6 linked regions of the Macaca mulatta genome follow. The protein of the gene in region 3 interacts with the protein of the main gene of each other region in a biochemical or structural test. Links are inferred from orthologs where the notes say so. Each region holds a gene or a part of one and is shown on either strand. Other genes may lie near its edges.

Region 1 (5,140 bases), on a different chromosome or scaffold from region 3:
GGGAAAAAATCTGATGAATTAGGTGTAAATGACTAACAAGGCTTAAAATATTACTTTTCCCAGGATTATGGTTTTGTGCTAGAGAAAAAAACTGCTTAAAGGGATAAAACTCTAATGGCAGAATTTCAGGTGAGTTGGAAGGTTTTTAGTTATAGGTACTTTTCTAGCGTGGATGGTAGTCTGCCAGCTTGGTCCTGAGTATGAGTTTAAATTTTAAAAACGTTAGGACCAAGGTAAGTCTTAGCCTAAAGCAGTGGCCTGATCAGTTGTTTAAGTTTTGAGAGGAGGGTTAGGTTTACTCGAATCTATGGCATCACATTTAAAGGGGTCTTGAATCAACCTGAAATTAGAGGCAACACTGGAATCCCAGAATCTAGCTGGTTTTCCACTAGTATGGGAGATATTCCATCCTGGGATGCCTTAGGAGAGTGACCCTTTCAGTTCAGAGCTATGCCACTGAGTTCTGATCAGACACAAAGCGGTTTTTGAAAATGGAGCAAGAAATCTTCCTAGCGATGATTACAAATAGCTTGTACAATATGTTAACTTTAGCTTTTTATGCAATGGTTAAGATTCATTTTCACATAAAATAGATATCCAGCTTGGTAACACTGGCATAGCTACTGTCATTTCCTAGCTTCCAGCGAATACTCTTACCTCTAATTCAGCACTGAATATATCTGAACACTTCAGTACTACCTGTAAATCTTCAACTTCTGCTCTATGCTAAATAACCTAATACCTGTATTAATTCCAGCAGTTCTTCAAGTAGTTAAAAATGCTCCCAATCTGAATAAAATAACTTGAATATCTTCGGCGTTATTTCAAGTGTTTGTATCTAACGTCAACTCATTTTGATAAATAATTACTTGGTGGAATTTACGAACTCTTTCCATTGGCAAGCCAAAAAAAAAAAAAAAAAAAAGTCTGTAGGGGATATAGCTCTTTATTCAAACTTGGTAATAAATAATTATCTCTGGAATACAGACGGAAGAACTGAACCAGAGACTTCAGGGACCCACAGGCTAATTATCATCACTGTACACAGTTAAGTACAGCAGAGAATGGGGGTGGCGAATGGTTTGCTCCGCAATACGCTCCTTCTCTGGGTAAAACAAGGCCGTCTTTTCTGTGAACATATTTAAAGCAAGAACTGCAAAAACTGTACAATGTTATGGTTGAGGCTTTCTATTTGCCATATGTGTTGACAGAATGCTTAAGAGTCTCTCTCCGCAATAAACGCAAACCCTGCCAGGCTGAATTATTAGGGCCAGTGCAATTCAACGACTGCACCACCACCCAACCGCTGGGGTTGGAAGCCTGCGTCGCATCGGAGCGTACCCATGTTTCCTCTAACAAAGGCACGATCTTGAGGCCATTTCGCGGGCCCTTTTTCCCCTCTCAGCGCCAGCTTTGTCTCCCCGCCGGTGTCAGGCTGGGACTTGGAGGAGGCTGAGCTGCGCCGTTGGGGAACAAGCTCGAAGGGCGGGCGTGGGAAGCTGCGCCGCGCTGCCGCTGTGGTTTCCTGCGACCTGAGCGTGCCATTAGAGGAAGGTGGAGTGCTGCAGCTGCAAGATACCTGCTGCCTTCAAATCAGGGCTGGACTCCAACAACCCCTGTGCACCGATTACTGTCGTACAAAGAAACTCCATCGGCCGGGGCGGCGGAGGCCTGTGGGCTATCTCCCTGGCTGGGCGCGGGGCCGCTAGCAGACAGCAGGGTCGGCGTCGCCAGCGTTCCCCACCTTGGGGGGCTCAGAAGTGGGGGAGTGCGGGGTCGGGGAGCGGGCGGGAGACAGGCCTCGGGTAGCCTGGGCCGGAGCGGGCCTCACGGCTCGCCTTTCACGGGAACCCACGGCCGCCGGCTGCCCCTCCCACAGCCCCCGGCCCACCGCCCCCCGCCGCCGACGTCGGCCCGCACCGCCCCCGCGCGCTGACTGGCCCGCGCCGGCCTCCTGCCCGGCTGTTGGCGGTTGGGGCGAAGCCGGCGGGAGACCGCCCCGCCCCCGCCCCCGCCGCGGAGCCGCGGCGCGCAGCCTCTTCACCCGTCGCGGCCGGGGCGGTGGCGCTGTTGCCGCCGCGGCTTGTGAGGCAGTAACTCCCCTCCGCCCCTGCCCCATTCCTCCTCCTTTCTCTCCGCTCCCTCCATCCTCCCTCCCCTCGCGGTCTCTCGCCCGAGTGAATGTGGCGCGGCGGCGCGGGACGCAGCCTCGGCCCCTGCCGCGGCCCCGCAAGCTCGTGAGAAGACAGAGCTGCCGCCTGCTCCCGCCCCCTGCGCGTCTCGGGGAGCCACCGCCGCTGGGGAAGGAGAACGAGCAGGGCAGCGGAGGGACGGCGGCGGGAAAACGGGAGAGGGAGAAGAGGGTTCGAGGGCGAGTAGGGAAAGCGGGGAGGGACGGACGGAAGGACGGACGGCCCGACGGACGGCCCGGGCAGGGGGCCGCCATTGAGCCTGCCCGACTCCTCGGCTCCGGCTCCGGGTGGCGGCGGCAGCGGCGTCGCGGACGAAGGGCGCGGCAAGCTCTATCGAGACAATAACCCTGCCGCCCGGCTCTGGGGGCGGCAGAGAGGAAGCGGTGGCGGCCTAGCGCAGCCGAGGCTCGCCGAGCGCCCGGGCAGTGTCCTCGCCCCCGCCGGCCGGGTGCCGTTGCCGTCCGGTGTGCGGGGCGCGCCGGTTGCCCGGAGCCCGAGGCTCCCGGCGGCTGTCCCTTCCCCTCCCCCTCCCCGGTGCGCGTTGAGCTGGTTTTCCGGGTTCCCCTGGACGGAGCTGGATTCTGCTTCTCGCCAAGGCAGGAAGTGAGTTTCGCACTGCAATTCCGGGCAGTGTCACGAGTGAAAAGTTTTTTTTTTTTTCGGCGGAGATCCTAGTTGGGGCTGGGAAACTCCTGCAAAACTAGAGACCAGGAAGCCAGCCCGCACCCCAACCCCCACCAAAGCCACCTACTCTTCTGCGGGAGGCCAGTCCACATCCGCTCTCACCCGAGAGAGAAATTCAGCTGGATCCAAAGTGACTAATGAAGGCAAGGAAATCATGTCAAGCGAAGCCTTGAAAAAGCTGCCCTGAGACGCTGTCGCGCCGAAAGGTAATTTTCACGAAAAGTGTCTCTGAGTCACAAAGTTCATGGGACTTTGTGACTTGGAAAAGAGATGATCTTTTAGTGTTTTTCACTTTTCTCCAAGTTACCCTAAATCTTCCTCTCTTCATATCGAAGCGGATAATAATTGAGAGGCTAAATAATCGAACTGCAACCCCCCTGTCTCCCCTCTCCCCCCTCCCCGCCCCACCATCTGGACTTTGGATTTTTTGGAAGAGGTTGTAAGAATGCGGTGGGACAAAAAGTTTTCAGCAATCCGAAGAAGGAGTGCCTTTGTTCCCAGGGGCCAGAAGTTTTGGCTTTCTGGAACGTATAGAGTGTATATTAAGTTGCTCAGCCTGGTACCTTCTGTTTGAGAAGAAAGTTTGGTCGCTGCAGCGAGTGATTTGCTGTTATTGAGATGGCTGCCGCGTTTGTTTATACTCCTACCGATTATATTGGCGCTTGCGTTAATCGTATATAGAGGTTTTTATTGTTTTATTTCCAACTATGATCAGTATATTTAGTTAGATTTTAGAAACCAAAAAATCTTGCCATTCTTAGTTGTTTTTCAGGGTAATATATTTCTTTAGTTGTGTGTAATTGTTTTTTTTCAGACGTTTAGCGCTGTATAACTTGTTTAATTGAAAGCAAGTATCGACTAGACTTTTCTTGTAACTGATCCATTACGAAGAAAAAAGGAGTAAGGACTAATAATAAAGAGAGAGACATAATTAAACAATAATAACAACAACCTGTAAGACGTTTGATAGGACTTCTGTGCAGTTCAGAACAGACTATATGGGAAGGGAAGTAAAACGCTTGAAACGATTTTCAAGGGAATCACAGTGATTGTGATAAAAAGCTATGCTTTTTGAGTAGTATGGTATTTACATTTTTGTGTTGGCCCAAATGTTTTTGGTCGGTTCTGCATAAATAGTGGTAGGTTCTGCCTACATCTGTGGGGACAGGATTCATGAAGCATGGCAGACATTCCACCAGTCAGAGCTATGAACACTTCTGAACCAATGGGGACTAGTTTTGATAGCAGCAAACCCAAAGCTTTTTTCAGTGGTGTTTTAGTCTTTTTCTGTTTAGCTTTTTGGTGCAGGGAGGTGAAATACAATACTGTAGTTCTGAATATATATTGAATAAATTTGGTAACCTGTTGGTAGGTATATCCTGAATATATATTGATGTTTAGATCGCCTGTACTGTCTCACGTAATGACCGGAAACCCGAAGAGAGAGTTGATTTTCTTTAGTTCAAAGAGAAAAAATAGGTTTTAAAGATCAGGATCAAATTATTTCACAATTTGTTCTTTGCTACTTCAGCTTCATTAAGTACATCTCCAAAGGCAGTCTTTTATTTATTACAGTAGTTTTGATTTTTTTTTTTCCTCCCCAGGGCATGGTCTCAGGAGATTTTTTTTTTCATTGTTGTTAAGATTTATGAACCATCGAGTAATTCCTGTTAAGTCAAACTAGCTTTATCAAAGAATTTAAAGTGCATAACTCGTATACTTTATGATTTTGGAACGTATCATTAGGCTGCAAAAGAGTTTATTCTTGGGCATCTGAAAGAACTGAACAAAATAAATGGCATTGAACTTCAGTTTCCTAATATGGCTTATACTTGGCTTTAAAAGCAACAAAACCTTAATAGAGCAAGTCCTTTATAGAGAATTATCGCTTTATGAAGATGGTTATTTATTAGTAAATTTTGTATAAAAACAGTATTGTAGCACTTGAAAATGACTTTAAACCTCTAATTTTAGATTTAGTCCTTGATTTTTTTTTCGATGCAGACAACACATTTTATAAAGTGAGGTGTTGACCTTTGTGTTTCTTTTTTTCTCTTCAACAAGGCATAATGTACTTGTAGTTTTCTTGGAATTCTGTTAGTTTATCACTGAATTAACTTAAATTTTAGGTTTTATACTACTGTCAAACTGTAAGTATTTTCGAAGCCTTGTTTAAACTGTGACAAAGGTTTAAAAAGAGGTTAAAAGAACAGTCATCAGTTAAAATATTTTTAAATGGCTTCAAAATTTGGATATTCTTCTTA
Region 2 (5,009 bases), on a different chromosome or scaffold from region 3:
CCCCACCCCCCCGACAAAGTCCCACCATAATAATAAGGAATGGTTTGATATGTGCTAGTGATATTTTCTCACTCTTCTGTAAATTGTGAGAATAAACTTACCTTTAGAAAACTGAATACTACAGATCAACATGATTTGCAATCCAAGGAAAAACAGTATAGCAGTGTTCTTTCTCAGCAAACTCAGTGGCCAGACAAGTCTGCTACACCTCCCCCCAACCCTCTTCAACCCTACTGCCACCCCCAAGTCCCTCCTATGGAGAAATTCCAGGCTACAACAGAACAGAAGGGACAGGCAATTTATTCCTGTGCTGCTGCTTAGCAGAAATTAAAGGCCAACATTAGAAGCATCTACAGGAAGCGTCTTGCCAAACTGCAGCCCAGGTCTTCACCTAACTAATGACCTCGAGTTTAGGGACAGAGAGAGAAAGAAAACAAGGTCAGTGCACTCTGTTAAAAGCCACTCTGCCATCTAATTTGGAGTGATGTCCCAGAAAGCTAGACCTGAGAAAGTCAGGGTCCCACAAAGCCCAAAGCCAGCCTGACTGATTAAGAGGCTCAGACAAGCCGGTCTTTGTCCTTTCAAGATGAAAGAAATGGATTGAAAGGTGTGTGTACAGCCAGAGGAGGAAAACCACCCAGCTGTGGCCTTCCCAAACAAGTCCCAGCTTGCTCCTGCCGCCATGGGGGAAGCAAATAGCCAGCACCAAGGTTCCCAGAGGCACCCTCCGAGCAAGCTGGTCTTTCTCTGGGGGACAGGGAGCCCCTGGGGCCTAGCCCACACCGCCGGCCCATAAGCAGTGGCAGCTTTTTTGCTCTTGGTTTGCAGGGCCTTCTACAGAAGCCGGAGATTACAAATACCTTTTTAATGACCCCAGCCAGGCTCTGAAGGCAGCCGCTGGGATCTGCACATTCAGTGGGAGTCCAGGGTACCCAACAGAATGGAAGATGCCATAAATCCCCCACCAGAGAAAGGGCCTTGGCTAACCCCAGGCTTCAGGAGGGCGACAGAGCTCTGCGTTCATTATTTGTGTGTATGTATTTGGAATTTTCCTTTAGTTTTTGGTATAGTTAATAAATACGCATTGTTTTTTTAAAAAAATCACCAATACAGAAGTGCAGACAATGAAACATTAGACCCCAGCTCCCACTCCCTAAGCCCCAGCTGTGCCCCCACCTCTCTAGCCCTCCAGTAAAATCTCCAGTTCCTGGTGTCTTCCTCCAGGAGGACACGATGATACACAAAAGCATACATGCAGGCCGCTCACCTGCACCTTGCTTCTTTCCACCTCATGCATCTGGGAGATGGTTCTAAATCAGGTCATATGTTGCTGCTTCCCTCTTAACTGGCTGCTTAGTATAATTTAAACTTTCTTGAAGGTATTTTGGCATCTAAACCTCCCACCCCTTGCTCGCTGAAGCTTGGCTCACTAGCTGGATTTGGTTATTAAGTACAGACAATGGCCTCCCCGGGAACTCCAGGGACCTTATCAGGAGGGGGAAGCATGAAGGCGGATCTGCGCTTCCCCGCGCCCCCAGTCCACGCCCCAGGTGCCCAGCGTGGGGCTTCAGTATCATTATTTCCATGTTGACACAGCGCCCGTGGGCGTGAGTTTGCTGTCTTGACTTGGTTCGGGTTTTCGCAGCAAGTTACACAAGTAGAATGAAAGCGCTCAGGAAACAGCGCTATCCGGGCGTGTTATCTCGGAAACCAAATATTTGATCATCAGTCCCGCAGAGCGCTGCCGGGGGTTAGTTTGAGCAAGTCTGGAGAATGAGTGCGCGCAGACGGAGGGGGAGCTCCCCGGCCCTCGCCGCAGCCCCAGGCTCGCGTCCCCGGGGTCGTCGCGGCTCCAATCGTAAACCGGGACCCCCAGTCGCCCCCGCGGCGTCAGCTCGGAGATCCCGCGCAACCCAATCGCCAAAACCTGTGGTTTGCGCGCCACACGTGATAAATGCTGAAAATGGATTCTGCCGGCCTGAGACCTACCACTAAATATTTAAAATAGAAAACTAGAGGCAGGGCACTGTGGCTCACGCCTGTATTCCCAGCACTTTGGGAGGTTGAGGCAGGAGGATCACCTGAGATCGGGAGTTCGAGACCAGCCTGACCAACATGGAGAAACACAGTCTCTACTAAAAATACAAAATTAGCCAGGCGTGGTGGTGCATGCCTGTAATCCCAGCTACTCGGGAGGCTGAGGCACGAGAATCGCTTGAACCCGGGAGGCAGAGGTTGCGGTGAGCAGGGATTGCGCCATTGTACTGCAGCCTGGACAAGAAGAGCGAAACTCCGTCTCAAAAAAAAAAAAAAAGAAAAAAGAAAAAAAGAAAATAAAAGAAAGAAAAAAAAGAAAAAATAAAAGAACGCAAACTAGCAAGCTCCCCAACTCCAGCCAAGAGAGAATGGGGCATCCGGCGGCCCGGAGAGGGGCCCCAAGGCGTTCGGAGCGCGCGGTAGGCTAAGGCGGGCGCACCACTAGGGGACAGGTAGGGCTTGTCAGGGCGGGTAAGGGAGTGCGACGGCCGAGATGCCAGGGCCAGGCAGGGCTGAGAGGGGCCCAGGAAGGGCGGGAAGGCAGCCTCGCCGGGAAGGGCCCTTTACATCCAGGTAGCGCGAGCCGCGCCAGCCCAGGACAGCTCACATGACCAAGCCCCGCGCTTTGAACGGCCGGCGCCTCCAGTCCCAGAGATGCGGCCGGCGGCGTAACATGGAGGGGACTTCCGAAGATCCCTCCTTCCCAGTAACCCCCACAGGCCCACCGAGCCCAGCGCGCCAGACCTGGAGGCGCACACAGCTTGGGAGCCATAGGGCTGTGGGTGGGAGACCCTCGGGCAGGCACTGCGATTTCAACCAGGAGCAGAAAGCTGGGCGGGCTGTATAGAAGAAGCGGCTCCCTCCCTCCCGGTTTCAAAGTGCCCCCGAACAGACACGCGTACCCCCGCCTGCCCTTACCGAGGTTGACGAAGCTCATGACCATGTCGGCGTCGGTGAGGAAATGGCTATCTTGCAAGCTGGCCAGAGGGGGGCCCTGGGTGCTGAAGACGGCCTTGTAGGGGTAGGAGAAGCCCTGGCCGCCGGGCCCGCCGCCCTCCTCCACCGCCATGGCGTTGTACAGGTCCAGCATGAACATGGGCGCCGAGTTGTGCTTGCCCTGGAGGTGCGGGCGCGGGCGGTGGGGCAAGCCCAAAATGGAGAGGATCTCGCGCTGCATCTCCCGCCGCTCCTGGCTGCGGAGGCGCCGATGGATGAAGCTCGAGTGCACCTCGTTGTCCAGGCTGAAGTCGGCCAGGGCGGAGCGCAGCAGGAACAGGGGTGCCCAGAGCGCCACGAAGCTGTGCGGCGCCGCAGCGCGCAGCGAGCGCACGTGCATCGCGCCGGCTCTACGCGCGACCCGGGCTCCGGGCTTCGGGCTCCGGGCCCGCACCGCCCCAGGTGGCAGAAGGGGCAGGCGGCCGTTCGCGCCGCTCGGTCACTTGCTGCAGACGGGCCCCGCTGCGCCCGCGCCAGACATGGCCCCTCCCCGGCCTGCCGCGCTCTGCCCGGACCCCCGCCCCCTGCTGGGTGCTGGCCCCGGGCCCCTCGCCCCGCACTCGCCCGGGCGCACCGCCGGGCTTGGAAAGCAGCCCCGGCGAACGAAGAGGCGAGTGAGGAGGCGGGCGCGGGTGGGAGGAGCAGCCAGCAAGCCTAGGAGTCCAGAGAGCCAGTGCCGGGGAGGCAGCGAGGAGGCAGGCGGGCGGGCTAGCGCTCCTTCTTCCCGCTCCTCTGGCGCTCTCGCCCTCAGGCGGCGGCGACCCACCCTCTTCCAACCTCTGGCGTGGAGAGCAGGGGCCCCGGGGCGCTCTCCCAGCCCTGCGCGCCCTGGATCGCACAAGAGGCCGCCTCTGGAGCGCCAGAGTGGTACACGCTGGGGCCTGGGCGGAGGAGGAGGAGGAGGACGGGCTTCAAGGGGCCCCTCCCGCGCCGGCGGCCTCCCACCTGCCCTCGGCCCCGCCCTCCCCCTAGCTGTGCCCAATGGGTTCATTCATTCCCTCTAGAGCGCTCGACAAATGTTTACCGAGTGCCCACGGGGTGCCTAGAGCCTGGCGGGACGTCGCGGGGATGCGGCTGGAGGAATCCAAGCCGGCCCTGCCCTCTTGGCACTCGTGGTCCGGACCAGGAAGGCGGCTCGAACGGGACCGGTGGGCTGCGGGCCGCGGTGGGAAAAGTTGGGGGAGCGCGGAGGTGGCGCGGAAATAGAAGGCTTCCTGGAAGCGGTGACCCTTGAGGCGGTCTTGCCCCTTAGTCCCCGTCTCCTTTTAAGCTAGCCACGCTGACCCCTCCGCGCCTCTCTGAACCGGTTGCCAGCTTGTCTCTGCGCTCGCCATTCCCTCCGCCTGGACGGCTCCCGGCTCACCACCTCCCGCCCCCCATCAGACCCTGCTTTCTCCCAGAGACCTCCAAGACCTGCCAAGCTGAGGTTGTTTCCTCGCCTCACCCCCACGTACATTTGTTTTCTTTCCTGTAATTTCTCTTGCTGTCTGGAATTGTTTGAGTTACTCCGTGCCGTCTTTATTGCCTTCTTATCCCCGCTAGACGCCCAGCGCACTGAGGCCAGGACCAGCGATCTTCTCCGCAGCTCTGGTGCCCGCAGTGCCTTGAACCTAGCGCCTGGTAGCCACTGTGGCTGCGCAATCACGATTTGTTGAGTGAATAAGTGAACTTCGTTTGAGCTGGGGGGTTCTTCCCACTTTCTCCTCTAAGGGGCCCTGTATCTTTCCAGCCACCCCTCAGCCTGAGACCAGACACCCCAGCCCCACCACTAGGGGTTCCCATCAGCCCTCCCCGCCTGGGGAGCCAGCCGCTGGTCTTCGCATCCTCTTCCCCTCCAAGGGTCTGTGCCTGAGACCTCCCCATCAGCCTCCTCTCCTGCCTCTCCTCATCTATTCATCCCTCAATCAATACTGAGACATGCACGCTGTCACAGGGAGTCCCCAGACCACTCAGAACCTACTGGTCCCTCTGCCAGT
Region 3 (4,512 bases):
GAGTTTATGAACTATATTACATTTTTTTTGGTAGCTATAAACCACAGTTTAGTTTTCAGAGAGAAAGTGTATTCTATTGTGCCAAGATTCATAAGTGAGATAAGGGAAGAAATTATTTCCATGTGTAAGGAAGCATAAGGATGAGAGAAAGGCATTTGGATGATATTAACTTAAGCCCAACAACAGCAACAACAGTAGCTAACATTTGATTGTATGTTTTTCTTGGGTCAGGTAGGGGTGTTTTACATATATGAGTGCTCACTAATATGTGTACATATATTGCCCACATGTACGTAAAATGCAACATATAATACAACAATTCTATAAGACAGACACTACAATGCCTGTTCTACTTAATGAGGACACTGAAGGATTATGTAACTTGCTAGAGGTTAGTGGGAGAGCCAGGATTTAAGTTTGAACAGTTTGGATGCAGAGGATTTCTAAGGGTTTCTAACCATTATGCTGTGGTACCTCTCACTATTACTGTCTTTTAGTAGTGAAAAGAAACTAATCTTTTATAAGAAGATACTTAGTAGACATGGATCGCTTGCAGGCACAAATGAATATATGGTGTCTTAAATTATTGCATTGCATATGTATGCCCCTTGCTTTCTCATTGACTTTGCAGGGTATGCTAAACATTTTTTGAAGGATGTTTGATATTATGTTAGTTTTTGAAAAGAAGATGTTTTCTATTTAGAGGAAGTCATTCTGCCTGAATTTCATCTTTCAAGGAGATTATTCTGAATAGTACCACAAGTAGCTTCACACCATGATGAAATTACAATGTAATACTTGCAGTAACTTATGTGTTGCCATTGTAAGATACAGAATGCAGCATTTCAGATCAACTTCTGTGTTTGTAAACTAGAAACACAGAAAAGTACGTTTTGAGGGAATGGACAGGGCAGGCATTTCCTATAAATTTGTTAACCTATTGTCAGAGCTTTTTTCTTATTACAAAACAGAACAAAAATTTTTTAAAATACTTTTTTGTTTTGTTTTGTTTTGTTTTACTTTGGAACTTATTTGAGTAATCTCTTAGACATGGTTTATTTACCCGTATTCCTTGTGTTCTTACTATTCTTTCTTTTTGACTCTAGGACAAACAGTCATGGCAAAATGAATATGAAGTCTACAGTTTGCCTGGAATGAAGCATGAGAACATATTACAGTTCATTGGTGCAGAAAAACGAGGCACCAGTGTTGATGTGGATCTTTGGCTAATCACAGCATTTCATGAAAAGGTAAAACTATTTAACGTTTTACTTTAGTAAAGTCTGAATTGGCCTGCGTACCTAATGTTAGCTATAAATCCCTCAGCGTTATTTTTCGAGACATGTTATAGTTGATTAATATTTAACCTGAAAATAAAAATCATTCTTGAATAAAAATGTTTTAAAAGGTAGTTTATTTTAATAAAAGAGCAAAGATGGCAAATTTTCAACCTAAAACCCTACTCATATAAACCACCCTTTTGTTCCTTATTTCTTGTGCTGTAATTACTCTTACAAACATTTATTTTAGTATAGGTAATGCTTAGTAATTTTCACTTACCATTTACAATTCATTTTGATTACATGAACCATTTTTTTCAGTTTTAATCAGTCTTGCTTAGTGACAAAACCAGAGTCAGGAAATTTATCTCATCTTTGATCTGTCACTAACTTGCAGGGTAATTATCACCAACACATAATTGCTAGTTTTCCTCATTTTTTCTGCTTTTAGAGTCAGTGTGAAAGTACCATTAATGAAGTAGGAAATTATGTTTTTGGTAATTGGTTTCATCATTGTGAAATGTAAGTGGTTCTTTTACTTCTGTTAATTCTTGACCTAAAGGACAACAATAATCTCTAGAAGAATATTCTATATATTAGTTGTTGTTTTATGTTGTTATTTTGTGTTCTGCTAGTCCCACGATGTAAGAACTCTATAGTCAGGATATTTTAACTATTAAAATATTTTCTAGAACCTTAGATATTCAGCTAGTGTTTAAAACAAAAAACTTCTCTTATGGATTGGTGGAAATTGACTATTCTTGTAACAAAAGTTTAAAGCTCTGGTATTTCTTTCTGGTCAAATGTTTATTAATGTGAAATGGAAGGAAATTTTAACCATTCCAGAAAGATTGTTTCTTGGATATTATTTTTCCCTGAAAGGAAAGATAATGCTGCCTTCCACAACTTCTTATAGGTAAAAAGAAAAGTCTCCTTATACATACGGCCTTTGTCAAGAATGTAAGTTTCTATTTTTCTGTCTTTTTTTAGGGTTCACTGTCAGACTTTCTTAAGGCTAATGTGGTCTCTTGGAATGAACTATGTCATATTGCAGAAACCATGGCTAGAGGATTGGCATATTTACATGAGGATATACCTGGCCTAAAAGATGGCCACAAACCTGCCATATCTCACAGGTAGACTATATTTGTATTGTTTTCCCAGGTAATTGAGTATACATTTACTAAACTTTTAAGCCCATGGGTAAGTTTTAATTTTTCCTTTGTTATTCAGTCATGCTTTACAAGACAGTTGGTTTTCATTTGTTTTTTAAAGTTAGCTTTGAGATTGGCCAGGAAGTATTTTGGATAATGTATATATTAACATTATTGGTAAAGTTTAATGATCTACTTCATCTCATTTCTGAAAGCATGATTGAAAATAAACTCTATTTTCTCAATCTCAAAGGAAAAAGACATTTGTTTTACCTCAAAACGTGATATACTTTAAAGATGATTATAAATAGGGATTATTATCCAAGGGCATGTAATGAAGGAGAGACTTTGAATGTCTCCCTTGCTTGTTTTTTGAATGACCTTATTATCTTTACCCTGAGCCAAGGTAGAGGGCGGCATCACTTAAACAGTTGTCCAGTGAAGAAATAGTTCTTAGACCCAACACTTGTCATGCCCGCAAAAGGAAAAATGATTGCGTCTTAAACATGGAATTCAGTTTGCCATGTATTTAATTTTCTTGAACGTGGGATTCAATTTGTCGTCTTGTGTTCAATTTAAAGATGGTTGTTTGAAAAGTAGGCATTAACTGATTCATGGAACAGGTACTTAGCTGAGTGCCACCAGGTGATGTTTTAGGTTGCTGGGAGCCATTATTGTAAGTCAGCCTCTAATTTAAGTTCTGATTTTGCAAACTTTAAATGACGTCTACCTCAGAAATAACTCTTTCTTCTCACTTTCTTACATGCAGTCTATTGGCCTCTTCTTGGATTTTCCCTTGCTCTACCTGGCCACATAGGGAATTAATCCTTAAGAATCCCCAGAGTTATTAAGAAAAGGTCCTGAAAGTCTTTTGAAACTAAGATTGATTGGCTTTTATAGCATTTGGGAGTGTCTACTCTTGCTTTCAATATCCCATTCTTGGTCTATGTATCTGTACGTAAATTTAACCACTAGTCATGGCATAGATGTATTTAATTAGGGTATAGTAATCTCTAGGATGAGCCAGTTGAGACAGGTGTGTAGAAGAGGATATCTTATTGCCTTAAAACTGTTACCCTTTTCAGAACACCAGGATCTAGCTAGAGCAGTGTATGTTTATGGTAAAAAGTTTCTATTGTCCATGCCGTAAGATGCTTTTCTATAACTGGGTGGAAGAATATAAGAACCTCTATAATAAGGGATTATTCTAAAATGTAGGTCTGTACCAATAAACAGAAGGCCTCAATTCAGCAATATTTTAAAAATTTCTTCATTTTGGTTTAAATTTCAGTTTCTATGGGAGTTTGCAAGTAAGAACTCTAAAATATTATCTTAGAAAACAGTAGTTTTGTGATTGGTAGGTGGGTGACATAGGTAACATATCTTTTTGACATGGCAAATGTTTATATAACTGCTTTATAGATAGGATTCCTTCTTATTGTCCATGTTATGAATAGGAGTTTGTCACTGTGCTCTTGTGTTAAAGGCTACATGGGGGCTCTGAGCTTTTTCTTTCTCCCTTTCTCTGCATTTCATAATTTTAAGTAACTATTTTTTCATAGTGTACATATTCCCCCTCTTTTCTGCTTTCAATAAAAAATTTAAAACGTAACTTGTCTAAACTTAATTTGAATACTCTTTTTATTTGCAAGGGACATCAAAAGTAAAAATGTGCTGTTGAAAAACAACCTGACAGCTTGCATTGCTGACTTTGGGTTGGCCTTAAAATTTGAGGCTGGCAAGTCTGCAGGCGATACCCATGGACAGGTAAGGACGATGATTATAAAATATAAGAAAAAATAAACTTGTCCCATATTTTCTTAGAATGGCATGTCAGGACTGAATTAGTCTAAAATTGTTGTGGTGGTTAAATCAGCATCTAACAGTGTTATGTGTTAAAGTTTCTGAGGAAGACATTTTCATACGATGGTAGAGGACTCAGGTGGTTTAGATTAAGCAGTTCATAAAACAATAACTTAGACACGTGTCGTAGGATTGTTTTTGAAAAATTGATCAAAGAATAATCCAGCACCTTTTAATAGACCTCATTCTTAGGGAATTCTTCGTATGAACTTAGT
Region 4 (4,969 bases), on a different chromosome or scaffold from region 3:
TTCCCCATCACTTGATTTCTCTCCAATTCTTCCGGGAGGAGTAGCTCTTCTGGCTGCAAGCCAGGAAGAGGGTGCGGAGTTACTAAAGGGGAATCCCTGGCTCCACCACCACACAAGCAGTGAGTTAAAATCAGATTCAGAAACCATAGTACAGAAGCAAGAGTGGAAACGTCCGCTGGCGCCCTGGCTAAGCTGCCTCTATAGGGATGGCTGCAGTCTGCCCACGGTGGAGGGCTTTGCAGGGTGACTCCCCGCCCCCACGCCCTGCTCCATGCCTCACCTTCATGGTGGAAGCTGCGCACAGTGTTGGCTCGGCTGGCTGCCCTCTCCAACCGGTGGTCTGGGGCAGGTGAGCCCGGCTGACCCGAGTGCCTGCGATACAGGTCTAGCATGTAGGGGGGCACCACGGCGTCCCTGCTGGGGGTGGGTCTCTGTTTCAGGCCGAACATGCTGAGCAGCCGCAACTCGAACTCGCTCAGGACCTCGTCAGAGGGCTGGGATGAGGGGCGGCCCGACGACGACGCCGCGAACTTCCTGCGGCCCAGCTCCGGAACGAGGCCAGCCGCGCCGCCCAGGAGGACCTGGGGAAGCAGCAACGCTAGAAGACAGCGGGTCCCGGCCACCATGGTCGACCTGCGGACAGGACCGACGTGAGTCACCCGAGCTCCCCGCCCAGTCCTCCCCCCTCGCGCCCCCGCGGCCCGGGCTCCCATTTGGCTGGCGTGCCTCCTCCAGGGTGCCCTCCTGGCTTGGCACACTCGCGAGTCTAGGTAAGACCGACCGAAGCTCAAATGTTTGGGATAATGAAGGGCCCCAAGTTCCAGAACCAGGTGATTTATCGCTCCCATCCAACTCTTAACTTGTCTAACATCAGATTTGGGGTTTGCCCTCCCCTCCCAACCAAACCAGCGCCAACGACTGTCACTTTTTTGTGTGTAACACAGCGCTGACTGCCAATGCTGGGAACCTGGGAGAACCACCGCTTGGTCTGACACCCTGCGTCCCCTATACAAACCCAAATGCAGAGCGCTGAGCGCTCTCTGGCATATAAACACACACAAATGGTGCATGTGACTTCCTTAGAGGCACTGTATAGAACTTCCTGACACACACACACACACCCCTATAACTTCCAGACCCTGTAAGCTCAAGGCCACAACTTCTGAAGCCACTTACAACTTGTGTCCCACGCCCCTACACTCAGGGGTGTCTGGAGAGGCAACTCCATCCCGCATCCCCGTAGTACGGTCAAGATACTCATGTATCTTCCTGGGATTACATACATGGTGAATATCTATTAATGCACGTGTCAGCTGTTAAAAACACAGCACCAAGTGATTCTTCAGTACTGACCCCTCGCATTTCTGGAAACAAGAAGGGAGAGCCCCAACTCCTAGTACTTTTCTCAATGGGATAGGGCTCTGAGTAAAGAAACCAAGTCTCCCAGAAACACTAGAAGAAGGGAGAGCGCCATGGCAGGGTGGACAGGTTCTCAGCTAACGGGTGAAACCCAGGGGCTACCCTCTCAAAGGGATTTCTTTGACTCAAAAAAAAAAAAAAATTAAAAAATTTAAAAATTTAAAAATTTAAAAATAAATAAATAAACAAAACACCTCATCTAAGTGTTAACAGCTCCAAAAGTATTCCGGGGAGAGGGTAAGAAAGAGGGGTGGAAGAGTGCGGGCCGGGAGGGTGAGGCTGATGGTCGCCCGGGACAGCTGGAAGGGGGCACCCCGCAGGGCTCCGTTGCACGTGGACTGGAAAGGGGTCTGTTTACTTCTGGCCTGGACGTAAGGAAGGGCTCTGCCGCAGTGGCTGCCCAAATCCCCCTCCCACCTACCACCTACCCCGGCCCCTGGGCCGCGTCCTCTACCTTTAGGAGACCGCAGTCCGTCTAAGAAGCACGCGGAGACACGTCCATTGAAAGAGCGTCCACATGGAAAAACTCTGGTCAAAGGACCTGGCGCAAGGACCGAATGTCCGTTCCTTTCCTTTGCCTCCTCCTTCTCCCGGGTGCCGGCCGCGCAGTCTCTTTTCACGCTGGGAACAGCGTCTCAGTCTCGGGCAAGGCCGAGGAGTGGAGGGGCGGTGGGGCTCGGAGGTGGCGAGGCAGGCTCCGCTGGGGCAAAGGCACCGGCGCAAAGTGGGGAGCTCAAGTTATTCTCCCTGCAAGTTCAAGAAGTCCCCAGCCAAGTGCTGACACACAACAACAGCGAGCAGGGGGAGGAGTGCGGGGCAGGGAAAGGAAGGGAGAAAGGAGAAGCTGGTGCTGTCGTCCTCCTTAGGAACCAGCGCCCGAGGGACGCGTGGCCCCGCGCGGGGCCGGCTCCAGGACTCAGGGAGCGAGGGTCGGGCGCTCTGCGCTAGCTCCGCCGCGGCCCATGGCTCGGGGCAGCCATCCTGGGCGACGCCGGGTCCGGGGAAGGGCACGGCGGCGATTTCGGTGCCAGGCGAGTTGCCCCCCCGCATCACTCTGCCTTACTCCAGTGCACCCCCATTCGCGCTCGCCAGTTGAAAGCACCGCGGCTCTGGCGCCCCGTCGTCCTCGGGCGCATTCTCCGGCGAGTCGAGCCAAGTCCCGGGCCGCCGAGGCGGGTGGTTGTGCTCTCTCCTCTCTCTCCTAACCCTGGGGCCAAATGCCCTTTGTGACTAGCCTGGGGTCCGATCACACCTCGGCCGGCGCTTCCCAGGCCCCCGATCTCCTGCAGTAGGTGCCCCGCATCGCGGCGCTAGGGATCGGCTCCGGAGTCGCCGGCGCTCTGCGCGCCCGTCCGCGACTCTGGCGCAGCCGGGGCAGCAGAGGCCACGGCGCTGTGGCGCGCTCTGCCGGGTGCTCCAGCCCGCGCGGGGTCTGCGGCGCGCGGATGCCTCGCGGTCCCCGGTGATCCGCGCGGCGCTGGCCCCGAGAACGTTCGGGTCGCCGGCGGAGGCTGTGGCGGCAGATGTGCGGCGGAGGCTGCCAGTCCCCGGCAGGGTGTGGGAAGCGGAGCGACTAGCGCAGCGCGAGCCCGGCGCAGCGCGGCGGGGCGAGGACTCCGGCGGCGACGGCGGCGGCGGCGCCGTGGCGCGGCGCTCGCGGCTTTTAAAGGGGACGCCGCCTGCCGGCTCCCTCCCGGCCGCGGCCGAACACCTCCCCCTTCGCGGCGCGGCTCGCCGGGGATCCCCGAGCGGGCGGGAGCTGCGCGCAGGGGTGTGGACGGCGCGCCCGGGCAGCCGCGGCGGGGTGGGGCGGAGGGCGGGGGCGCGCGGCCGCCAAGGGGGGCGCTCGCGCCTCCACTCCCTGTCCTCAAAGGAGAGATCAGCTGGCGCGCCGGACCCTCGCGGGGACTCCGGAGGCGAAATCCAGGACAAATGCAGGGTCAGGGTCTGGCTTCTATTTCCCCTCTGGGCCCGTTATTCAACTTTCAGTTTGGAGTTTTTCGATAATATACAATTTCAAAAAACAAAACAAAACAAACACCTCAATTACAGCGCATTTTGGCATAGCATAGACGTCGGATTCACGCTTCTGTTTCCCCGGAATAGGAGGAAAATTAAAAGAAAACAGGAGGCTGGAAATTGAGTGTTTTTAAACATTAATACAAAGAGATGTATGTATTTACATATGTAAATGCATGTGTACAAATTTCCTTTTACATAAATATGTGTGTGCATTTATTTTCATATCCATATGCATGTTACAGTTATATAAATATATCCAATATACAAAAATATGTACATATATTTCTATATATTCATATATGAGAACATATGCAACCGAAGGTAAACATTTCGGTAAATATATGTCTACGTGTGTGACATGGATGTCATCCTGCTTTACGTGACATGTGTGTAACGTAGACTGTGTGTGTGGCAGCCTGAGGGATGGATGGGAGGGATTTGATTTCTTTTCATGGTACAACCACTTTGTGCCTTGTGATGTTTATCTCACCCAGCTCAGAGGCAGGCGATTAACAGCTCAGAGGAAGGTAAAATAACGCACTGTGTGAACCAAGCATACAGGACAATTTCAGTTTGGGACCTTGGAACCTTCTACTCCACCCTCTTCCATCAGGCCCCCAAGAAGTAGGGCTGTGACACGTGGCCAAGTCACTCCTCAGCTGAATATTCGCTCAAGTCACTCCTCAGCCGAAACATTCCTCAGAGCTGCTGCACGATGAGTCTGGGGCCAAGGCTTTCTGGCCTTCCCTGGATTCCAGGAGCCCCCATGCACAGCACCTCGGGCTTGCCCAAATGATTCCCGAAATCAAGGGCAGAACATTTTTGGAAGAGGCCACGGTCTACTTTCCCAGAGCTATCGGGCCTGCAAACCAGAGAGAAAAAAGTCAAGCGGGAGCTGGTAATAAAACTATTATCCATGTGTATTATTTTTTCGGTGGGGGAGCTAAAATAATACCAGGTTCCGCTCACGTAAATCGGATTAGCAACCCACAGAGGCGAATCAGGCCCTTGCTGTTTCTAAAGGTATGAAGGTCAAATAAGGTATTTTGGAGGAAGCCTGACTACCAGGAAAATAAAACGGGGTGGGGGGAATTATTCAGGAACATGCTACTTTATTTCCTGACCAAAAAAAAAAAAAAAAAAAAAAGTGCTATAGAAGTTGATTGTCACTCAGAGTCACTGGACCGCAAACAACTCGGCGATGAAACGTATTCTACTCCTAGACACAGGCTTCTGAAACTATTTCCTTTCCTATCAAGTTTAATTAAGAAGTTAACAGTCGTTTCTGTCATTACTTAGATTGCAAAAACAAAACAAAACTTCAGTGAGATTTAAGTAGCCTTTAAAGATGAAGACAAGTTGGTAACTATTGGATGCACCCGAAGAAAAAATAAAAAATAAATCTCCTGGGATGACATCAAGGATGTCTTGCAGCTTTAGAACTTCATAACTTGCTAAGTGGAAGCCTTGTCAGTTTAGAATCTGAGGGAGAATGGGCACTTCTGAACACTGTTTCATGTTAGTGTTG
Region 5 (3,896 bases), on a different chromosome or scaffold from region 3:
GACTTCCCCTTCCAGAAGCACATCTTGCTCTTCAACATCTCCATTCCCAGGCACGAGCAGATCACCAGAGCTGAGCTCCGACTCTATGTCTCCTGTCAAAATCACATGGACCACTCTCACGACCTGAAAGGAAGCATGGTCATTTATGATGTTCTGGATGGAACAGATGCCTGGGATAGTGCTGCGGAGACCAAGACCTTCCTGGTGTCCCAGGACATTCGGGATGAGGGCTGGGAGACCTTGGAAGTGTCCAGCGCCGTGAAGCGTTGGGTCCGGTCCGACTCCACCAAGAGCAAAAATAAGCTGGAAGTGACTGTGGAGAGCCACAGGAAGGGCTGTGACAAGCTGGACATCAGTGTCCCCCCAGGTTCCAGAAACCTGCCCTTCTTTGTCGTCTTCTCCAATGACCACAGCAGTGGGACCAAGGAGACCAGGCTGGAGCTGAGGGAGATGATCAGCCATGAGCAAGAGAGTGTGCTCAAGAAGCTGTCCAAGGAGGGCTCCACAGAGGCAGGTGAGAGCAGCCACGAGGAGGACGCAGATGGCCACGTGGCTGTGGGGTCGACTTTAGCCAGGCGGAAAAGGAGCACCGGGGCTGGCAGCCACTGTCAGAAGACCTCCCTGCGGGTAAACTTCGAGGACATCGGCTGGAACAGCTGGATCATTGCGCCCAAGGAGTACGAAGCCTACGAGTGTAAGGGTGGCTGCTTCTTCCCCTTGGCTGACGATGTGACGCCGACGAAACACGCTATCGTGCAGACCCTGGTGCATCTCAAGTTCCCCACAAAGGTGGGCAAAGCCTGCTGTGTGCCCACCAAACTGAGCCCCATCTCCATCCTCTACAAGGATGACATGGGAGTGCCCACCCTCAAGTACCACTACGAGGGCATGAGTGTGGCAGAGTGTGGGTGCAGGTAGTACCTGCCTGCGGGGCTGGGGAGGCAGGCCAAAGGGGCTCCACATGAGAGGTCCTGCATCCCCCTGGGCACAACAAGGACTGATTCTATCTGCATGCCAGCCTGGAGGAGGAAAGGGAGCCTGCTCTCCCTCCCCACCCCCCAACCAAAGCATACACCACTGAGCTCAACTGCCAGGGAAGGCTAAGGAAATGGGGATTTGAGCACAACGGGAAAGCCTGGGAGGGTTGTTGGGGTGCAAGGAGGTGATGAAAAGGAGACAAGGGGAAAAGTAATCCAGAGTCAACAGAAAACAACAGCAGTGAGCCAGAGGAGCACAGGTGGGCAGGTGACTGCAGAGATTGATGGAGATTAGAAAGGTGGAGGAGGCTGGCTTATTCCAAAACCCTTGGGGAGTAGAGGGAAGGAGCAGGCTGCACGCCACACCCATCACTGCATGTTATTTCCTACAATCCAGTTAGAGGGGCATGGCTTCCAATTTAGAGACAGAGAGACAGAAACACAGGCAGATCAAGTAGCATTGGTCAATGGCATGATTCCAACCCAGAGTTGTGGGACACCAAAGCCCAGGATCTTTCCAAGTGCCCCGCTGCAGTTAAGCAGGTCCTCTCCAGCTAAAGAGCAGTGAGACATTGGGAGCCCAGGAGTGTTGAGGCCGGGCCCGGCTGAAGCCCATCAGTCACAAGTGTGACTGGGCTACTTGTCACATACAGGGCGTGGTCTGGCCACTGTTGCCAGTGCTCACTCAGCGGCCAAATGCTTTTTAATATCACCCCTGAGGCACTGAAAAACTAACCCCAGGCCAACTGCAGGACAGAGAGAGAGGTCAGGACAGCAGCCCTGTGGGCTGCATGATACACTGTGGCCAGAGCTATTGTGACCCCCTGGTGCAGTGCTCCCACGGTCAATGGTGCACACGGGGCCACTCACTGTCCATGGACTGATACCATGTGACCGTTTGAGAGGGCTGGGCACACTTTCTCCTGAGGGAGGGGGTAGCCTGTGGCCAGCACTTCTGCAGTTACTCAGCATAGCCAGACCACCAGGATGTGGTGCCCAGGGTGCCCCCCAGCGACAACCCAGGGGAGACGGGCCTGGATTTGAATTTGTTGGAATTAAATGTGCTCTTGCTTTGGTCTTTGAAACATACCTATTTTTAATCCTTGGTGACATGTCCTCAAGTGACAAGACTCCAGCCTTCCTGGGCGAGGCCTCCCCAGCCTCGGAAGAGCTGCAGTCCTTATCGGCGATCACTGGCTCTGCCTGCATTTGCCGGCTCTCTTGAGTCACGTGCATCCCAGCACCCCGCCTGGGCTCGGATTGTGGGACCAGATTCAGCCTCCCCGAACCCAAGGGATGATAAGGCTTCCATTTGCTCTGTGTTTCACCCTCTCCTCTGACTCTCCTGGCCATACATGGAACGGGGCAGTGTGAGGAAGAATCTGAAAGTGATGAAGAGTGCACCTATGGCCCTCTGACCTCCAGCCAGAGCAGGGCCTAGGGGAGGCTTAGAGAAGCCAGTGCCTCTCCCCATGGTTGAAGCTCCCGTTTATTTAAAAAAAAAAAAAAAAGTGGGGGGTGGGGAAAGTGTTATGTTAAATGTTTACATGGAACCAATGAACAACTTTAACACAAATATACAACACAACATTCTTGTTTAATTACTGGTGTTAGAGAAAATATGAATTCCTGCTACATGCCGGGCAGTGTGGTGTTACAATGCTATTCCATGTTGGGTGTTGAGCATCTTCTTTCAGTCCTGGTGCTGTGCTTCTGTGCCTGCTTGAAAGTTTCACTTGGAAATAAAGTCAAATGTCTAATTTGCAGCCCCTCCTAATGTGAGACCCAATCTTGAGGACCCTGTAGACTCACACCCTGCCTACCCCACCCTCCGACCCCACTGGGATGGGCCTCCTTTTCCTAAGGAGGCAGAGGGGAGGGGACAGGCAGCCACCTCAGGGCTGGGTGGATGCAGGTGGGTGGTGTCTGCAAACTGGGTGAGTGATGTGGTGCGTCCACACTAGGGTGAGCGATGCAGTGTGTGCACACTGGGGAGAGTGATGTGGTGCGTGCACACTGGGGAGAGTGATGTGTGTGCACACTGGGGTGACTGATGTGTGCACACTGGGGAGAGTGATGTGGTGCGTGCACACTGGGGAGAGTGATGTGTGTGCACACTGGGGTGAGTGATGTGTGCACACTGGGGTGAGTGATGTGCTGCGTGCACACTGGGGTGAGTGATGTGTGGGCACACTGGGGTGAGTGATGTGGTGTCTGCACACTGGGGTGAGTGATGCGTGTGCACTCTGGGGTGAGTGATGTGTGTACACACTGGGGTGAGGGATGTGTGTGCACAATGGGGTGAGTGATGTGGTGAGTGCACACTGGGGTGAGCGATGAGGTGCGTGCACACTGGGATGAACGATGCAGTGTGTGCACACTGGAGTGAGTGATGTGGTGCATGCACACTGGGATGAACGATGCGGTGTGTGCACACTGGAGTGAGTGATGTGGTGCGTGCACACTGGGGTGAGTGATGCGTGTGCACTCTGGGGTGAGTGATGTGTGTGCACACTGGGGTGAGTGATGTGTGTGCACACTGGGGTGAGTGATGTGGTGCGTGCACACTGGGGTGAGTGATGTGTGTGCACTCTGAGGTGAGTGATGTGGTGTGTGCACACTAGGGTGATTGATGTGGTGTGTGCACACTGGGGTGAGTGATGTGCGTGCACTCTGGAGTGAGTGATGTGTGTGCACTCTGGGGTGAGTGATGTGTGTGCACACTGGAGTGAGTGATGTGGTGCGTGCACACTGGGGTGAGTGTTGTGTGTGCACTCTGGGATGAATGATGTGTGTACACACTGGGGTGAGTGATATGTGTGCACACTGGGGTGAGTGATGTGTGTGCACGCTAGGGTGAGTGATGTGTGTGCACTCTGAGGTGAGTGATGTGGTGTGTGTACTCTTGGGTGAGTGATG
Region 6 (4,512 bases), on a different chromosome or scaffold from region 3:
TAAGAACCCTAGGGAAGTTCCTTTTTCCTTTTTTTTTTTTAAGCATAGGTAAAATCCCTTCATAACAATGGTTTCTGTACAGTGAAATCCTTTCTAGCACTTAGTTGTTGGTCCATGGAAATAGCACTTTGATACTCAGTTTTCTTTCCTTCTCTTTTTTCTTTTTAAAAATATTTTATTTTACTGTGGTAGGAACACTTAACGTGAGATCTACTCTGAACAGATTTTTCAGTGTACAATATAGTATTATCTATAGGCCAGTGTTGTACAGCAGATCTCTAGAACTTGATTCATCTTGCATAACTAAAATTATATGTGTTTAAAATAGTCAAACTCATAAAAACAAATATTAGAATGGTGGTTTCCAAGGACTTAGGGAAGAAGAACTGGGGAGTTGCTAATCAATGAGTAGTCAGTTTTTTCTACAGTGAATAAAACTTGTCAATTACTATACCCAAATATAGATTGAGTAGCCCAAATCCAAAAATCTGAAGTCTGAAATGCTTCCAACTCCAAAACTTTTTTTTTTTTTTTTGAGATGGAGTCTTGCTCTATCACCCATGCTGGAGTGCAGTGGCGCGATCTCGGCTCACTGCACCAACTCCAAAACTTTCTAAGGGCCAACATGATGTTCAAAGCAAATGCTCATTGAAGCATTTCAGATTTCAGATTTTTGGATTAGGGATGTTCACCTGGTAAGTTTAATTCAAATGTTCCAAAATCCCCCAGATTCAAAATTCAAAACACATTTGGTCCTAAGCATTTTGGATAAGGGATACTCAACCTATATATGGTTGTACTTGAAGTAGCAAAGGAAGGGAAGGTAAATTTGGTGATTTAGTCCTACCATGAAACAGCAGTTACCTTTCTGGTTCTGAGGTTTCTCTGCCAATACCTACACCACTGCCTCCACCAACCAAAATAGAAAGAAAAAAAAAAATGAAACTCTCAAGAGATTTTTCCAAAGCACTATCATACATAAATTCTCCAGAAGCTTGGGAGAAGGAAAGTGTGGAAGGGAAGGTATGGTTAGGAATCTCTCACACTAAATTAGGAACAGTTCATTTGATAATTGGTAAAAATGCATAGCTTCTTCTCATGAACACAACTAACCCTGCTGTGGTAATATCAGGAATGTCAGGAATTGGGTCCTTTGAATACCATCAACAGGATCAAAATTAAATGTGAGTAGAAGAATTTACATGTAGGCTGGGCATGGTGGCTCACACCTGTAATCCTAGAACTTTGGGAGGCCAAGGCAGTAGTGATTGCTTGAGGCCAGGAGTTCATAACCAGCCTGGGAAACTGAGTTATGAACTCCTGAGTAGCTGGGATTACAGGCGCCCGCCACTATGCCCCCTAGCAAGACTGTCTCAAAAAAAAAAAAGAAAAAGAAAAAAAAGAAAGAACTTAGAGTAATCACCATTACTCTTTAAGTTCTATATATATCTTTCTTTATATATTCAACAAAACAGGTGAATCACTGTGTTTATATTTTCAGTTGTGCCTCATTTGAGTGAGCAACTCAATACTCTTGATACTGCTGACCTTGTTCATGACCATTCACCAGCTCCATCACAGCCTGACTCGCCAGCGTCTCCTCTCCATCAGCCTTTCCTGCCCAGTAGGCTTTTCCTCCCTTTCTCTTCATCTTCTCTAATCCCTTTCTTTCTTCTTCACCCCCATCTTTTTACTCCTCCATGATTTTCTCAGGGCTGGGCTTCAACATCGTCGGTGGGACAGATCAGCAGTATGTCTCCAACGACAGTGGCATCTACGTCAGCCGCATCAAAGAAAATGGGGCTGCGGCCCTGGATGGGCGGCTCCAGGAGGGTGATAAGATACTTTCGGTGAGAATGGGCTTCGGCCTCCTTCACTGTCCTTTGCTCCCTAAGCCCTAGGTCCTACCCCTATCCCTTTCCTTGGAAAGATTTGGGTCTGGAAATATACAGATTATAGAGCTGAATGGGAGCAACTCTGATCAGTCATTCTTTCCAACCCTATCATTGAGCATGGAGGGCAATATTATGCTCACCTGATAAATGAGAATGTGAAGCCCAGAATGTGAAGTTACTTGTTCAAAAAGCACGAGGCAGGAAGCAGCGAGGGACTCATACGGGGAAAAGAGATATAAAATCCACAAATTTTGTCTTTCATCCATCATTGCCTCCTTTTGTTGATTAAAACACTAATGTGTATCTTCCTTTGGGGGAATGTCAGCCCTTATAATTGGATTTAACTTCAAAAAACAGAAAGAAGGAAGGTTGGAATTAAGTGTCCTTTTCAGACTCAGAGCCCTTTTTCACCCATTATTAACATGAAAATTTGGAATGCAGTTGATTTGGGTATCTGTCCACTGTGTTCCCATTTCATCCTGCTAATGTCTCTACCAAGACTTACTACATGGAAATTATTAATCTTATTCTTTTCTAGAATTTCCTCAAGGGGAGTGACAAGATCCTTTTTTTTTTTTTTTTTTTTGAGATGGAGTCTCGCTCTGTCACCCAGGCTGGAGTGCAGTGTCATGATCTTGGCTCACTGCAACCTTTGCCTCCCGGGTTCAAGTGATTCTCCTGCCTCAGCCTCCTGAGTAGCTGGGACTACAGGTGCCTGCCACTATGCCCAGTTAATTTTTTGTATTTTTAATAGAGATGGGGTTTCACCATGTTGGCCAGGCTGGTCTCGAACTCCTGACCTCATGATTCGCCCTCCTCGGCCTCCCAAAGTGCTGGGATTAGAGGCGTGAGCCACCGGGCCTGGCCTAAGATCTTTTTTTTAACATGTTGAATCATAGCGCAATGTTTAATAATGTTTAAGAAATGAACAAGTTAAGAAATTCAGGCAAACCTAAAAAGACTAGCTGATAAATACGGGCCCACAGACCTCAGGTCTTAAAATAAATTAGAACAAGCCTACAGTAAAAACTATTAAAATGCAAAATATAACTCTGGCCCTATTGTTCATTTCTCCACATTACCATAGGTCACAGTAATCCTATGATACTATCAGTTGCTGGGGGATAAGGAGGTGTAGATTGGAGATAATTATTCTGTAGAATTTCTTTTTTTATTAACTTTCAGGACTAGTGAAAAATGGCCAACTTATTACTCGTATGGAAACAGTACAGATGGTTGGTATAAAGAATGGAAAAATGCTGAGGGTGTGAGATATTATCTAGAATATTCTTGGGAGAGCTGGCTTCAAAGGGCTAGACTTAAATAAAAGGAAATTGAAATAGGATAGGGCTTCTCATAGGAGAAGCTCCTAAGCAGAAGCTCCTGTCTTCTCCAGATGGGCCATAAGCCCACGGTCTGAAGAGGAGAAAACTATTCCCTGTTTTCTTTTAGAACTGAATAGGGCAGGATGGCCAGGTTGGGAAAAGATTGAAATAAATGAATGAAGTATAGACAGGAGAAGTCTTGATTGACAGAATTAAGTATTAGTCTCAGAGACATGATTTTGAACCTACCTCTATAATAAGTTAGCTTCATCCCTTAAATTTTTTTTGCTATATAGTTTCATTTGAATTTCACTTCACTTTTCATGCAGTTCAGGTGATTAGTGATTACAGGTCATACGTGTGAAATCTCTTGCTCTTCTTAGTTGCCAGCTTACTGAACACTTCTCTGCCATGCAGCCCATTTGGTAGTAGTACCTGAAGGCAGAGATACAAAGGAAAAGAGAAAGAACATCCATCTTCTCTTCATTTGGCATCTGAGTATTTGAGTGATCAGGCTCAGCAGTATGGATCTGAATGCCTCTTCAGGAAGACCGTGACTCCACTTAGTCCCCAAAAAAGAAAGAAAATCAGAACAAGTAGCTATTAGAGCCACCTAAATTAGCTCAAGAATGTCTAAGCATGTGTCCTCGCTGATCTATAATATAAATATAGTATCAAGCACCACAGTATTTCAGTCCTTCTCATTGACTGTTTTGCCTCTCTTCCATCCGTTAAGCTTCTCCTAGACCCTATTTATTAATCTGTGAGATGGAGACAGTGATAATATACTGTCTTCTCAAAAGGATAGTGAAAAGTTTAGAAGCAGATTATTTCCTTTAGCTCCCAGGGAAAGACATTCATCCAATATGAATCAACTTGGCAGTGGTACTGTAAGGAAATGCTGAGAGTGGGTTGTTAAAATAAAGGTGTAGCATGTAGTTAGAATCTATGCAGCTTAATATTTTGACACATAAATTACATTATCCTCAGAACACTGGAATCTGGGCTCTGTGGATGAAGAATAGGAGTTAAGAAGAGAAAGAAGAGAGCTATATTATTTTAAAAGCTTTGGTTAAAGGTAGATTATTGCAAAATGAGAATGGTGAGAACTATTTGAGCACTAAATGTCAGGTAACATGCTGAGAACTTGAAATTTATTTTGTTTAATATTATAGTAACCCTATGAGGTGGGCATGATTATTGTGCCCAAGCCATTTGCCCAAAGTCACACAACTAGTAAGCAGCAAGGGACTCAAAGTTTGTTTGAGTCTGAATTTGTAGCCTTTGTTTTT

Evidence for each region.
Region 1: the proteins of ACVR2A (region 3) and ERBIN interact in a test that uses a peptide from one of them, tested with the Homo sapiens proteins (2 studies listed by BioGRID and IntAct). The link is inferred for Macaca mulatta from reciprocal best matches to the Homo sapiens genes ACVR2A and ERBIN.
Region 2: the proteins of ACVR2A (region 3) and BMP7 are reported together in a solved structure, tested with the Homo sapiens proteins (2 studies listed by BioGRID, with this or other methods). The link is inferred for Macaca mulatta from reciprocal best matches to the Homo sapiens genes ACVR2A and BMP7.
Region 4: the proteins of ACVR2A (region 3) and BMP2 form a complex in vitro, tested with the Homo sapiens proteins (3 studies listed by BioGRID and IntAct, with this or other methods). The link is inferred for Macaca mulatta from reciprocal best matches to the Homo sapiens genes ACVR2A and BMP2.
Region 5: the proteins of ACVR2A (region 3) and GDF2 form a complex in vitro, tested with the Homo sapiens proteins (2 studies listed by BioGRID). The link is inferred for Macaca mulatta from reciprocal best matches to the Homo sapiens genes ACVR2A and GDF2.
Region 6: the proteins of ACVR2A (region 3) and SYNJ2BP form a complex in vitro, tested with the Homo sapiens proteins (2 studies listed by BioGRID and IntAct, with this or other methods). The link is inferred for Macaca mulatta from reciprocal best matches to the Homo sapiens genes ACVR2A and SYNJ2BP.

The regions. Positions count from the first base shown.
Region 1 is NC_133411.1:74,026,178-74,031,317, forward strand, and holds the start of ERBIN (erbin), read left to right. Parts: upstream 1-2,066; 5' UTR 2,067-3,082; intron 3,083-5,140. UniProt on the Homo sapiens protein: Acts as an adapter for the receptor ERBB2, in epithelia. By binding the unphosphorylated 'Tyr-1248' of receptor ERBB2, it may contribute to stabilize this unphosphorylated state.
Region 2 is NC_133415.1:110,054,499-110,059,507, forward strand, and holds the start of BMP7 (bone morphogenetic protein 7), read right to left. Parts: upstream 3,488-5,009; 5' UTR 3,374-3,487; coding exon 2,956-3,373; intron 1-2,955. UniProt on the Homo sapiens protein: Growth factor of the TGF-beta superfamily that plays important role in various biological processes, including embryogenesis, hematopoiesis, neurogenesis and skeletal morphogenesis.
Region 3 is NC_133417.1:52,892,282-52,896,793, forward strand, and holds part of ACVR2A (activin receptor type-2A), read left to right. Parts: intron 1-1,106; coding exon 1,107-1,250; intron 1,251-2,270; coding exon 2,271-2,416; intron 2,417-4,086; coding exon 4,087-4,201; intron 4,202-4,512. UniProt on the Homo sapiens protein: On ligand binding, forms a receptor complex consisting of two type II and two type I transmembrane serine/threonine kinases.
Region 4 is NC_133415.1:77,222,847-77,227,815, forward strand, and holds the start of BMP2 (bone morphogenetic protein 2), read right to left. Parts: upstream 3,177-4,969; 5' UTR 1,874-3,176; intron 634-1,873; 5' UTR 627-633; coding exon 281-626; intron 1-280. UniProt on the Homo sapiens protein: Growth factor of the TGF-beta superfamily that plays essential roles in many developmental processes, including cardiogenesis, neurogenesis, and osteogenesis. Induces cartilage and bone formation.
Region 5 is NC_133414.1:61,457,223-61,461,118, forward strand, and holds the end of GDF2 (growth/differentiation factor 2), read left to right. Parts: coding exon 1-918; 3' UTR 919-2,743; downstream 2,744-3,896. UniProt on the Homo sapiens protein: Potent circulating inhibitor of angiogenesis. Signals through the type I activin receptor ACVRL1 but not other Alks. Signaling through SMAD1 in endothelial cells requires TGF-beta coreceptor endoglin/ENG.
Region 6 is NC_133412.1:143,543,054-143,547,565, reverse strand, and holds part of SYNJ2BP (synaptojanin-2-binding protein), read left to right. Parts: intron 1-498; exon of another isoform or gene 499-1,045; intron 1,046-1,227; exon of another isoform or gene 1,228-1,418; intron 1,419-1,713; coding exon 1,714-1,850; intron 1,851-4,512. UniProt on the Homo sapiens protein: Regulates endocytosis of activin type 2 receptor kinases through the Ral/RALBP1-dependent pathway and may be involved in suppression of activin-induced signal transduction.